2 linked regions of the Schizosaccharomyces pombe genome follow. Changing the gene in region 2 together with the main gene of any one other region gives a genetic interaction. Each region holds a gene or a part of one and is shown on either strand. Other genes may lie near its edges.

Region 1 (5,108 bases), on a different chromosome or scaffold from region 2:
ATGTTTCTCTAGAAAAGATAGAAAATAACTAAGCCACTTGTTATCAGACATACAGTACGTGAACATAATCAAGCGTATGACTGAACTATGATTTTGGTACCTCCCTTCCACAGCATAAGCTTCTCCAAGATTGTTTAACTTTTTAGAAATTAGCTCCGATTCAGTTGGTTAAATCTAGGCTCTTTAGTTTGTCTTTTAAGCAACTCATATACAGCTTATAATATCAATTTATTATAGACATATCAATAACACTTATTGCTCAAGTATTTACAAGCCATCAAAATTAACGCATCCTTAAATCTGTAACAAACTGCGTAACTGCAAGCTAACATACTGTAATTTAACGATCAAGCTCTTATGTAGACTTTACGTCGTTCCGAACTCATTAAGCTTGCTAGGGGTTTTAACGAAATTGCGTTATGTCATTCTGTGTAATAAAATTGTCACCACCATTCCTGAGATCACTCATCTATCATAGCAGTCAAAAGCATGCAGATGATCCATTGGGATATTAGAAATTGCCAAGCCTTCCAGTTCATTTCCATACGAGGCAAATGAGGAGAAACGAGACTTTTCTTCTCTAATATTGATCTATTCAAGAGCAATTTAGTCACAAGTTCTGATCATCTGTTCGTACTTGAATATGTAAACATTACAATAAACGGAACCAAAAGTCAAAGCATGCAAAGCGAAGTGAATTTAAACAGTTCATTCCTTATTAAAAGAACTGCTTGTCCATATTTTTTGACAAGAATATGCTTCTTTTAAGATAGACAGCAAATAGGCGGTTTTAAGGTTGATGCAAACATAAATCATGTTACAGCAACTACTTTTAAGGCGTAAAGTTTACCTTCATAGTTGACAGTAAATTATTTTTATCTTTCTATTTTTGAAAGCAAATTCGTAAGGAGAATAATAATAGTATTATAAACACCACTTGATCGCAGTGCTGCGTCTAGAGTGTTGATTAAAATATGACTCAATTGCTTCGACACCTCCATAGGACTACTTTTACTCAATAATCTGTAATCATCGAGTATATTTAAAGTAAGAGAATAGCCTCCATCCCCGCTTTCCAAAAACGTATACATATAAAGTGCATCGCATACGCTTGAAATTAACTTTTGATTCAGAAATCTTCTCGTGTCTAATCCTTTGTCCTAAAAAGCCTAATTTCGTGTATCTTATACTGCGAAGCAATACAGAAGATATTTTCTGGAAATAATTGACTCTTTTCCCTTCCAATCCATATACGAGGAATTTTTGACATTAAATTCCACTTTTAGAACCATTCTATTCTTTCTCTTTCCTTGCTACCACCATCCATTTCTAGTCATTCAGTTCAGGTTTTTTAGTAAACCTTCTTGTTAATTGGTTATAACATCGCTCTTTCATTGCTTAAAAGAGTAACTTTTTAAATCACCGTACCTTCCTTGCAAAGTTAACCTGTATACATCCTTCTGTGAACCCGCAACAGACCATTTTATTTTTTTAAATAAAGCATAGTCTCAAGTTCCCTAACATTTGATTAAATACCGATTGCCGATTAAAGCATTCCGACATTTTTGTTTTCATCAGATTATTCAAGTAACGAGTTAAGTATTTTTTACCTCGTTCACACATTGACTGCCTTTTTCTTTTTTGCATTACTTTTTTGACAATCTCGATAATCTTTTATTAATCCAGCCTTCATTTTCAATTCCTTTTTTTTTTTGAAATTCAAATTCTCGTTGACTCCTCACATCGACGACATAAGCAAATTCCGTTCTCTCACTAGGCCTATTGACCGATTTGAGCATTTTAAACAAGCATTGTTTGTCTATCTCTTTTTTGACTTCTGCATACCTCAGTCTTGTTACCTTGAACGTTATATTTTCTCTGTTTTTTTATCGAGGTAAACAAACAAAAAAAAACATATTTTATAGTATCCAATCAAAAAAAACCACTTTTTTTAATTTTTCATCTACAAACAATAAATAACTTTCAAACGAAAGAATTTACTGTTTAATATTCTGTTGATTCCTTAACTTCTTGGAGGATCTATTTATAAAACTGCTGCCTGCGACGATTCAAATCGAGGTGTTCCCAATCAATTTGTAAAACAGGTGTTTTCTTTAATACTTTTGGTTCTATTTTGCATTTTCTGTTTCTAGTACCGCCACGTTCATTTATTAATTATCCCTAATTGAATAATGAGTCAACTTTATGCTTTAAACGGACAACCTCTAGCAGGGAAATCTGATGACCTGGCAAATAAACTTGCCGCCTTCGGATTGTCTCAACCTAACCATAGTTCTCTTTCAGAACAACAATCGACCAACTCTTTGCTTCATGGTTCAGGAGCATTTAATAAACCCCCACTGTCCAGGAATTCAACGACAAATCCGCTTAATTTATTATATACACAAACACAGCAACCTGCAAGGTCGACAACTCCTTTTCTGCTTAACCCAGTAGGATCAAGTCCTGGTAAATTGCCCGTGCCTTCAAGGAACAACTCTTACTTACAGGGCACTGCGGAGTCAAACTCCGGTAATTTTGCAAATAATTCAATTAGCAATAATTGCTGGAATTCCGCATACAATTCTAACAGTTTCGAAGGCACAGGCAGCTCTCCAAATTTTCCACCCCAAAATCAATTTCTTTCAGATAGTCGATCTTCAATTGCAACGCTAAATGCCATCCCTTCGTTGGATCAAAGTGTTCTATTGAATCCAAATCTTCGGGCTAGAACACCTAGCTTGGTACCGGAACATTACTTTGATGATACCGACAAATCAGTACATTCTAAAAGTAGTTCTGGATCTAACTCCCTTAGTGAAGCTTCAAATGATGATTTAGAATCTTCTATCATTCAAATTGTTGGTGGCTTGCCGGACGATTTTGATGATAGAGAGCTGAGTGGAATTTTCACATTCTGCGAAGGATATGATTTTTCAAAAATCGAAAGTGAAAATGGGCACCGAAAAGCTATTGTATACTTTCGGAACGCAATAGCTGCATTAAAGGCAAAAAACATGTTAAACGCGTCTTCTACAAACAATTTCACCATTATTCAAAGGGATGTTGTAAGGCAACAAGAAAATGAATATCACAAGGGCATTCCACCATTGACTACCCCAAGTTTATATTCCCAACGCCTGTCAAATAACTATGACTCAACAACGCCTGGGTTTCCTCGGTTTTCACCAGCAAATTTTGATTCTGTCATCAATAAGGACGTTACTTCAGAATCACGAATGTCCACCTCGTATCCAGCGGTATTGGAAGCTTTTAAATCGTTCAACCCAATAAAGGCTCCTAAAGCTGAATATCTTAATCAATCACGAGCATCAATGGGAAACCCTTCACCTTCAAACTGGAATAATAGGCTATTACAGCCATCTTCTAAAGAGCAAGCCGTATATTCTTTCCAAACGCAGAAAAATAGCAAAGGGCTTCAATTTACAAGCAATGAATTAACAAACCCCACAGCCAAATATTCACAGTTGCCAAACAATATTGCTAATATTGGTGAATCTAATTCTTTATCAAATCAGCCGAATAACTTTGCACAAACGTCGTTCGATTACCAACCTAATCATCCAAATGCAATTTCGCCCAAAGCAAAGTTTTCTTTACCTTCAAGACCAAGTTATCATAAAGACAACTCTTTTATTTCAAAACAAGCTATCGATAAATCAAATCCTTTTGAAGAGGCATTGCGATTAGAACGTACGAGCCCTGTTAAAGAGCTACCTGCTATAAGACCACGTACAATTCCACTGAATGGTGTTGCCCCATATGAAAGTGAACTTAGGCCGCCGCCCAAGTGGAAGCCTATGCCAGACCTTAAAGTAGTCCGTTCACGCCCGTCATTAAAACAACGCCCTTTAAGGAGCGCCGAATATGTCCGTGTTTGTGAATTAAAATGCCTTCAGGAAGAAGAATTTGATAATAAAGTGCTATTGGAACAAGTAGAGTCCAATGTGCAAACTGATCATAACTCACCCTGTAACACAATTTATGTGGGAAATTTGTCCAACCCAGACCAAGAGAAAAAGCTTAGGTTGGCTTTTTCAAAAGAGAAGGGGTATCGGAGACTATGTTTCAAAATTAAGGGAAACAGTCCTATGTGTTTTGTAGAATTTGAGGAAGTTTGCCATGCTGCGAAAGCAATGGAAAAAATGCAAGGTGCTGCATTAGACGATAAAATTAAAGGTGGCATTCGCTTAAGCTATTCCAAAAATCCACTTGGTGTCCGCTCCACCGAAAACCTTTCAACCACAGCATCCCTTTTTCAACAACACGGCCCTCCGAAGAAAAGCACGGACTGCTACTCAGCAAAGGCATCCGCTGCTGTTGAACGAAAATACCATTTTCAAAATATGACTCCAAAACCAAATGGAACCAACAGTGTCACCACACTAAACAGGACCCAAACTCACTCGTCGGAAGTGAACGATTTGTTTGATATTTTTGAGTTTCCTAGCAAATAGAAACGGTGAGTTTTTCTTCAATAGTCAACACTATTGAAAAGAGCACGCTAAGGCTATGTAAAGAAAATGACTCTATTTCTATACAAAGTCAAAACGTTTGATTTTTAGTTTTAACATTCAGAATCAGTTGCATGACAGAATTATTTTATCCTTTGTGAAAAATTCCACAATTATTGAGAAAAAAAATAAAAAAATAATAATAACTAGCATAATTAATAAAAAATTTGGTTGAATTTGGTAAGCAATTATTGAAATTCAAAGTAACATGCTGTCAGCCTTCACTAAGCTAGATTGGAAAAAACTTGATCTCACACTTTGGTTGCAAAATGTAGAATAAAATTTATAACGCAATAAAATTTAACGACGTCTTCCATTTAAAGTCGAATTAACGATTTATGTTTGTTAGTTCGTCATGGTTTAAAAGTTCGGAAAGAGTTTTGAATGACAAATGCTTCCGTTTTTTAGAAACACCGAGGGTCATTATTTTGTTTGATAAGATTTGTGTAGAAGTAGTGTAAATACCATAATATGAGCAAATCAAATGCATCCAATATCGAGCGAAGGCTGTTGCTTTCGGATTGCTAGGACAATCAATTAACATATAAATTCGATAGCTTCTCTGCGTTTCCA
Region 2 (4,550 bases):
TTGGCTGCTGGAATCTGAAATCACCGATTTGTCTGTAAGGAAAAGGATCGATCTCCTTTTCAGTTGTCTCAGAACGTTCACAGATTGCTATTAAATAATCTCTTTAAGATGACCAAGTTATACAGTTCTAGTTGATATAAATATTTTGTCATTTTTGCGAATATCAATTTGCATTTAATTTTTTACTTTAAACGATGCTGCTGGCGAATGCTTTTAAAGTTATTGAATACTTTCTGTTGAACATAGTCTTAAGATTGAGAAAGTAGATCTCCAGTTTTGATTCGAACATCTATCTCTGCTTTCAGAACTATTGCTATCACTTAATGCTGCTATTTATGAGGGTCGTAGAAAATCCGTTTGAGTACTAAGAGACTTTGAGTGGATACATGATTTAATCGCTTTTGTTTTAGTATTTAGTTTTTAATTGTTAGACTACTTGTATAGACTATTTCACTGAATCATCAAAATTGTTGTCTCTCTTTGTTGGCACCAGAGACTGATACTTTTTACCGACTTTCAGTATCTTTTCTTTAATATATTAATTTACTAATCAAAAAAGCTATTGAACACGTGTATTTCTGCCATGTATAATAAAAAGCCGCACTGTTCTGTATACGTATCAATTTGATTAAATTAGATAGTAATACTACTACATAGATATTCGTTACCCACTTTTAGCTTCTACTTTAGTATATCCACCCATCTTTGTGTTACTGCAGGTTTATTTATTTCAATATTTATTTTGTAAAAACAATTAAGTACATTCGTTAACTAATTATGAGAATTATTGCACTTCCTTTGCCAAATCAAAGGGTATTCTTACATTGTTATCCTTCTGAATACCTTGCCAAAAAAGTTACTATTCACGACAAAATTATAAACAGAATTTACAAGTATTGGGACTCCTGGAGTGCTTCAAAAAGCTATACCAAACAAAAGGTTGTGTCTTTGGGAAACCGAATTTTGCATGCAACTCCTTATGAAGAAAATTTTTTAAGGGCGATTGCTCCTGTTAAGAAGCTAAATGATACAGAATTACACCAAACTTTGTATATTGAACATCCTCCAAATTTGGAATCAAGTACTATTTTAGCTGAGTTGAATCGGTCCAAACAATTACAAAAGACCCATACAAATTACCTTATTGGTAATATTATTGGATTACCATTGACTATACCTTTCATTCTCATACCTCTAATACCAAATATTCCGGGTTTTTATCTTTGTTATAGAGCATACTGCAATTTTCGTGCTATTCAAGGGTCTATTCAATTAGCTCGGGTAATGAGCATAGAAAACATTCAAATGCAGGAAAGTGAAAAACTAGAAAAAGCATTGAAGTTGTTTACAAATGGAGATGCTACACCATTAAACGCTCTCATAGGCCACCCGGATTTCGTGGACCGCTACAAACGTGCCGTTGCTCAGGAGCAACGGAAATCAAAAATAATCAAATAAGAATATTTTTTTCCTTCTATTTTATGAAGTCCTTTGCATATAAAATCAATGACCTAAGTAGTGTGCAATCGTCGTTCCGGTCATAGTTATGCCATAACATTATTGCGCAGCTATGAGTAAAAAGAAAGTCCCAAACTGATATGAGGAGTGGAATTTTATATCAAGAAAACATCTTCCTTTTTTATTTTAAATATTAAAACTCCCATTCTTTTGTTCTTTCTCTTATTAGTGGTTGGCAATCGTTCATTCTTTTCTGGGGTTCTTTCTTTCTTTTAATCTTCTTTCCATCTTTCCTTTAAAAAATAATCTTCTCATATTTATATCTTGATTAATATATATTCTCATGGAAAAAGGTCATAGCGACTTACCTAGGCAGCCAGAGAGAGTTGCTCAAAACCCATTTTTGACATTTGATCAAGATAGCTTTCCTTCTAGCTATGGATCTTCTTTAAATGTTTCAGAGCAAACTTCTGGATCTTCAAGCACTTCTCCATTGCCTCAGATTAGTTGTTTACTTCGTAAGGACGATGTACCTTTAGCAAACAAAGAACTTTCTCGATCTCTCATTCATGTTCAAGAACTGAGTCGCTATCCTCCTTTTTATAACCAAGATCATCAACATTTAGGAGTACCGAGAAGCAGAGTGGGTTCTGATGTTTGGAAAATGAGGGAGAAATCTTTTTTAAGCCCATCTCAATTTAGTAGTATTGATTTAAGTTGGGTTTATCGATCTAAGGAAGAGGATGATGACTTTCATGATCCAAAATCATCAGTTGTTAGTTTAATGGGGGAAGAAGATTATTTGGGTTGGTCACGTTTTTGCGATCTTTTCTTTCTGTTCGTCCTTTCCCTTGGGATAGGATTATTATTCATAGTTTTTCCTGCTTTGACATTCACTGGAAATATTACTCCGAGTAAAGAAAAGTTTGATGCGATAATGGCTAATCAAATAACTGACCATTTGTTTGCGCACATGCGTGTTCCGCGCACGAACCTGATTGACAAGGATACGCCCTCTACAGCGTATCACAGAACCGGGTACAACGGTCGTAAATACAATTTGGTTTTTTCTGACGAATTTAACAAAGAAGGAAGATCTTTTTATTCCGGAAATGATCAATTTTGGGAAGCGGTTAATATTCACTATGCTGCGACGAATGATTTAGACTGGTATGATCCTGATGCAATTACTACCGTTAATGGAACATTAGCCATTCAACTCGATGCATTCTGGAACCGAGATTTGAATTTTCGTTCTGGAATGTTGCAATCTTGGAACAAGCTCTGCCTAAAAGGTGGTATAATTGAAGTATCGGCCTCTTTGGCAGGTTCAGGTGAACACGCAGGATTATGGCCAGGTATCTGGACACTTGGAAACCTTGCCCGCCCTGGCTATATGGCTACAACTGATGGAGTATGGCCATATGCATACTCTCAGTGTGATGTAGGAATTACGCCCAACCAGTCTTCTTACGATGGCATTTCTTATTTACCAGGACAAAAATTGCCAAACTGTGTATGTCTAAATGAGGATCATCCTAGTCCAGGTGTTGGACGTGGCGCTCCTGAAATTGACATTCTTGAAGGTTCAACAGAGAAGCTACATCCCGACGATGAACTAGACATTGGTGTAGTTTCTCAATCTGGGCAGTTCGCACCATTCGATTTTTTCTGGTTACCAAATTATGATTATTTAGCAGTTTATAATGACAGCATTACTCACATGAACTCTTATGTGGGAGGGCCTTTTCAACAGGCTCTTTCAGGAATTACTACTTTAAACAATACATGGTATGGAGGAAATGCATTCCAAATTTATGGTTTTGACTACAAGCCTGGTGAAGGTACTAATGGGTATGTATCTTGGTTTGTCGGTCCAAACTATACTTGGTCGATGCTTGGCAGCGCCGTCGGTCAAAATGGAAATGTCGGACCTCGTCAAATTAGTGAGGAGCCAATGTCTATTATTTTCAACCTTGGAATATCAAACAATTGGGCTTATTATTACTTCCGGGATCTTTCATTTCCTGCAGTGATGTACATAGATTACATTCGTATCTATCAAGACCCTGATGACACCAACTCACATATCGGATGTGATCCCCCCGGCTATCCTACTACCAAGTATATTGAAGAACATCCGTTAGCATACAAAAATCCAAATGCTACAACTTGGGAAATGGCTGGTTATACATGGCCTAAGAATTCTTTAATGCATAAATGTAACACTTAATTGCCATTATGATCATATTTTATATGAATTATCTATATATTTAAGATGCATTTCAGTTATATAACAATTAGAATTTAATGTTCATTTTTTTTTCTTTTTCAAAAAAAAAATTTAGATTACATATATATATGTCTATAAAAACTAGATAGCCAAAAGAACTTCATGCAGAATACAAATTTGAATTTGGTGAACCTAACTTATAAAGCAATTGTACGAAATTTATCGGGATATTGCTTACTTAAAGGAGAAACGGTTGTTGCCGTAGGCATCTCAAATGTCAATAATGCTTCTGCATGTTCTGTACTCATTAAATCGTCAATTATTTTCAAACCATCTTCACCGCCCAAATTAACAGCTTCTTCCAATTTCTTGTTAAACGCAAGAAGCATTTTTTTAGTAGACAAACGACTTAGTAGTAAGTTTTTTCCACGAAGATCGAGTTCAGATAATTCTAAAGAACACATCTTTTCGAGTTGTTCAAGCACCTTCATTTTAAGCTGTAACTTCTCAAGCTGAGCCTGGATTAACGAAAAAACCAAGCGTCGAAGCTGGCGATTTTCAAACGCTGCAATCAATTTTGCTTTTTGAGCAGCAGATTTTAAAGCATAATAAGCAACCCTCTCTAGTGGGTTTTTAAACTCGGAATTCCCAAAGGAGGTTTCTCCTTGTTTCACTGATTCATTTTGCTTGCGCTCTTTCATGCCTTGTTGAACAATGGAAGCCAAATATGTTAAAGTACTTAAAACTGGATTTTCATTTTCATCAAAGGGCAAAAATCCCTTTTTAAATGGGGAAAAGTCACCCTGAAGTTTCTGTCGATAGGGATCCTCTATAGGAATCTGGAGGAAATGAATCAAGC

Evidence for each region.
Region 1: mutations in SPOM_SPAC23H3.11C (region 2) and mde7 together harm fitness less than expected from each alone (positive genetic interaction), as found in Schizosaccharomyces pombe (one large-scale study listed by BioGRID).

What each region holds. Positions count from the first base shown.
Region 1 is NC_003421.2:153,714-158,821, forward strand, and holds mde7 (RNA-binding protein Mde7), read left to right. Parts: upstream 1-2,192; coding exon 2,193-4,478; downstream 4,479-5,108. Other genes in the region: SPOM_SPCC320.06 (uncharacterized protein), read right to left, coding at 4,864-5,108.
Region 2 is NC_003424.3:2,512,101-2,516,650, reverse strand, and holds SPOM_SPAC23H3.11C (glucosidase), read left to right. Parts: upstream 1-1,801; coding exon 1,802-3,691; 3' UTR 3,692-3,746; downstream 3,747-4,550. Other genes in the region: SPOM_SPAC23H3.12C (hydrogen/potassium transport protein), read left to right, coding at 778-1,458; SWI/SNF and RSC complex subunit Ssr2, read right to left, coding at 3,889-4,550.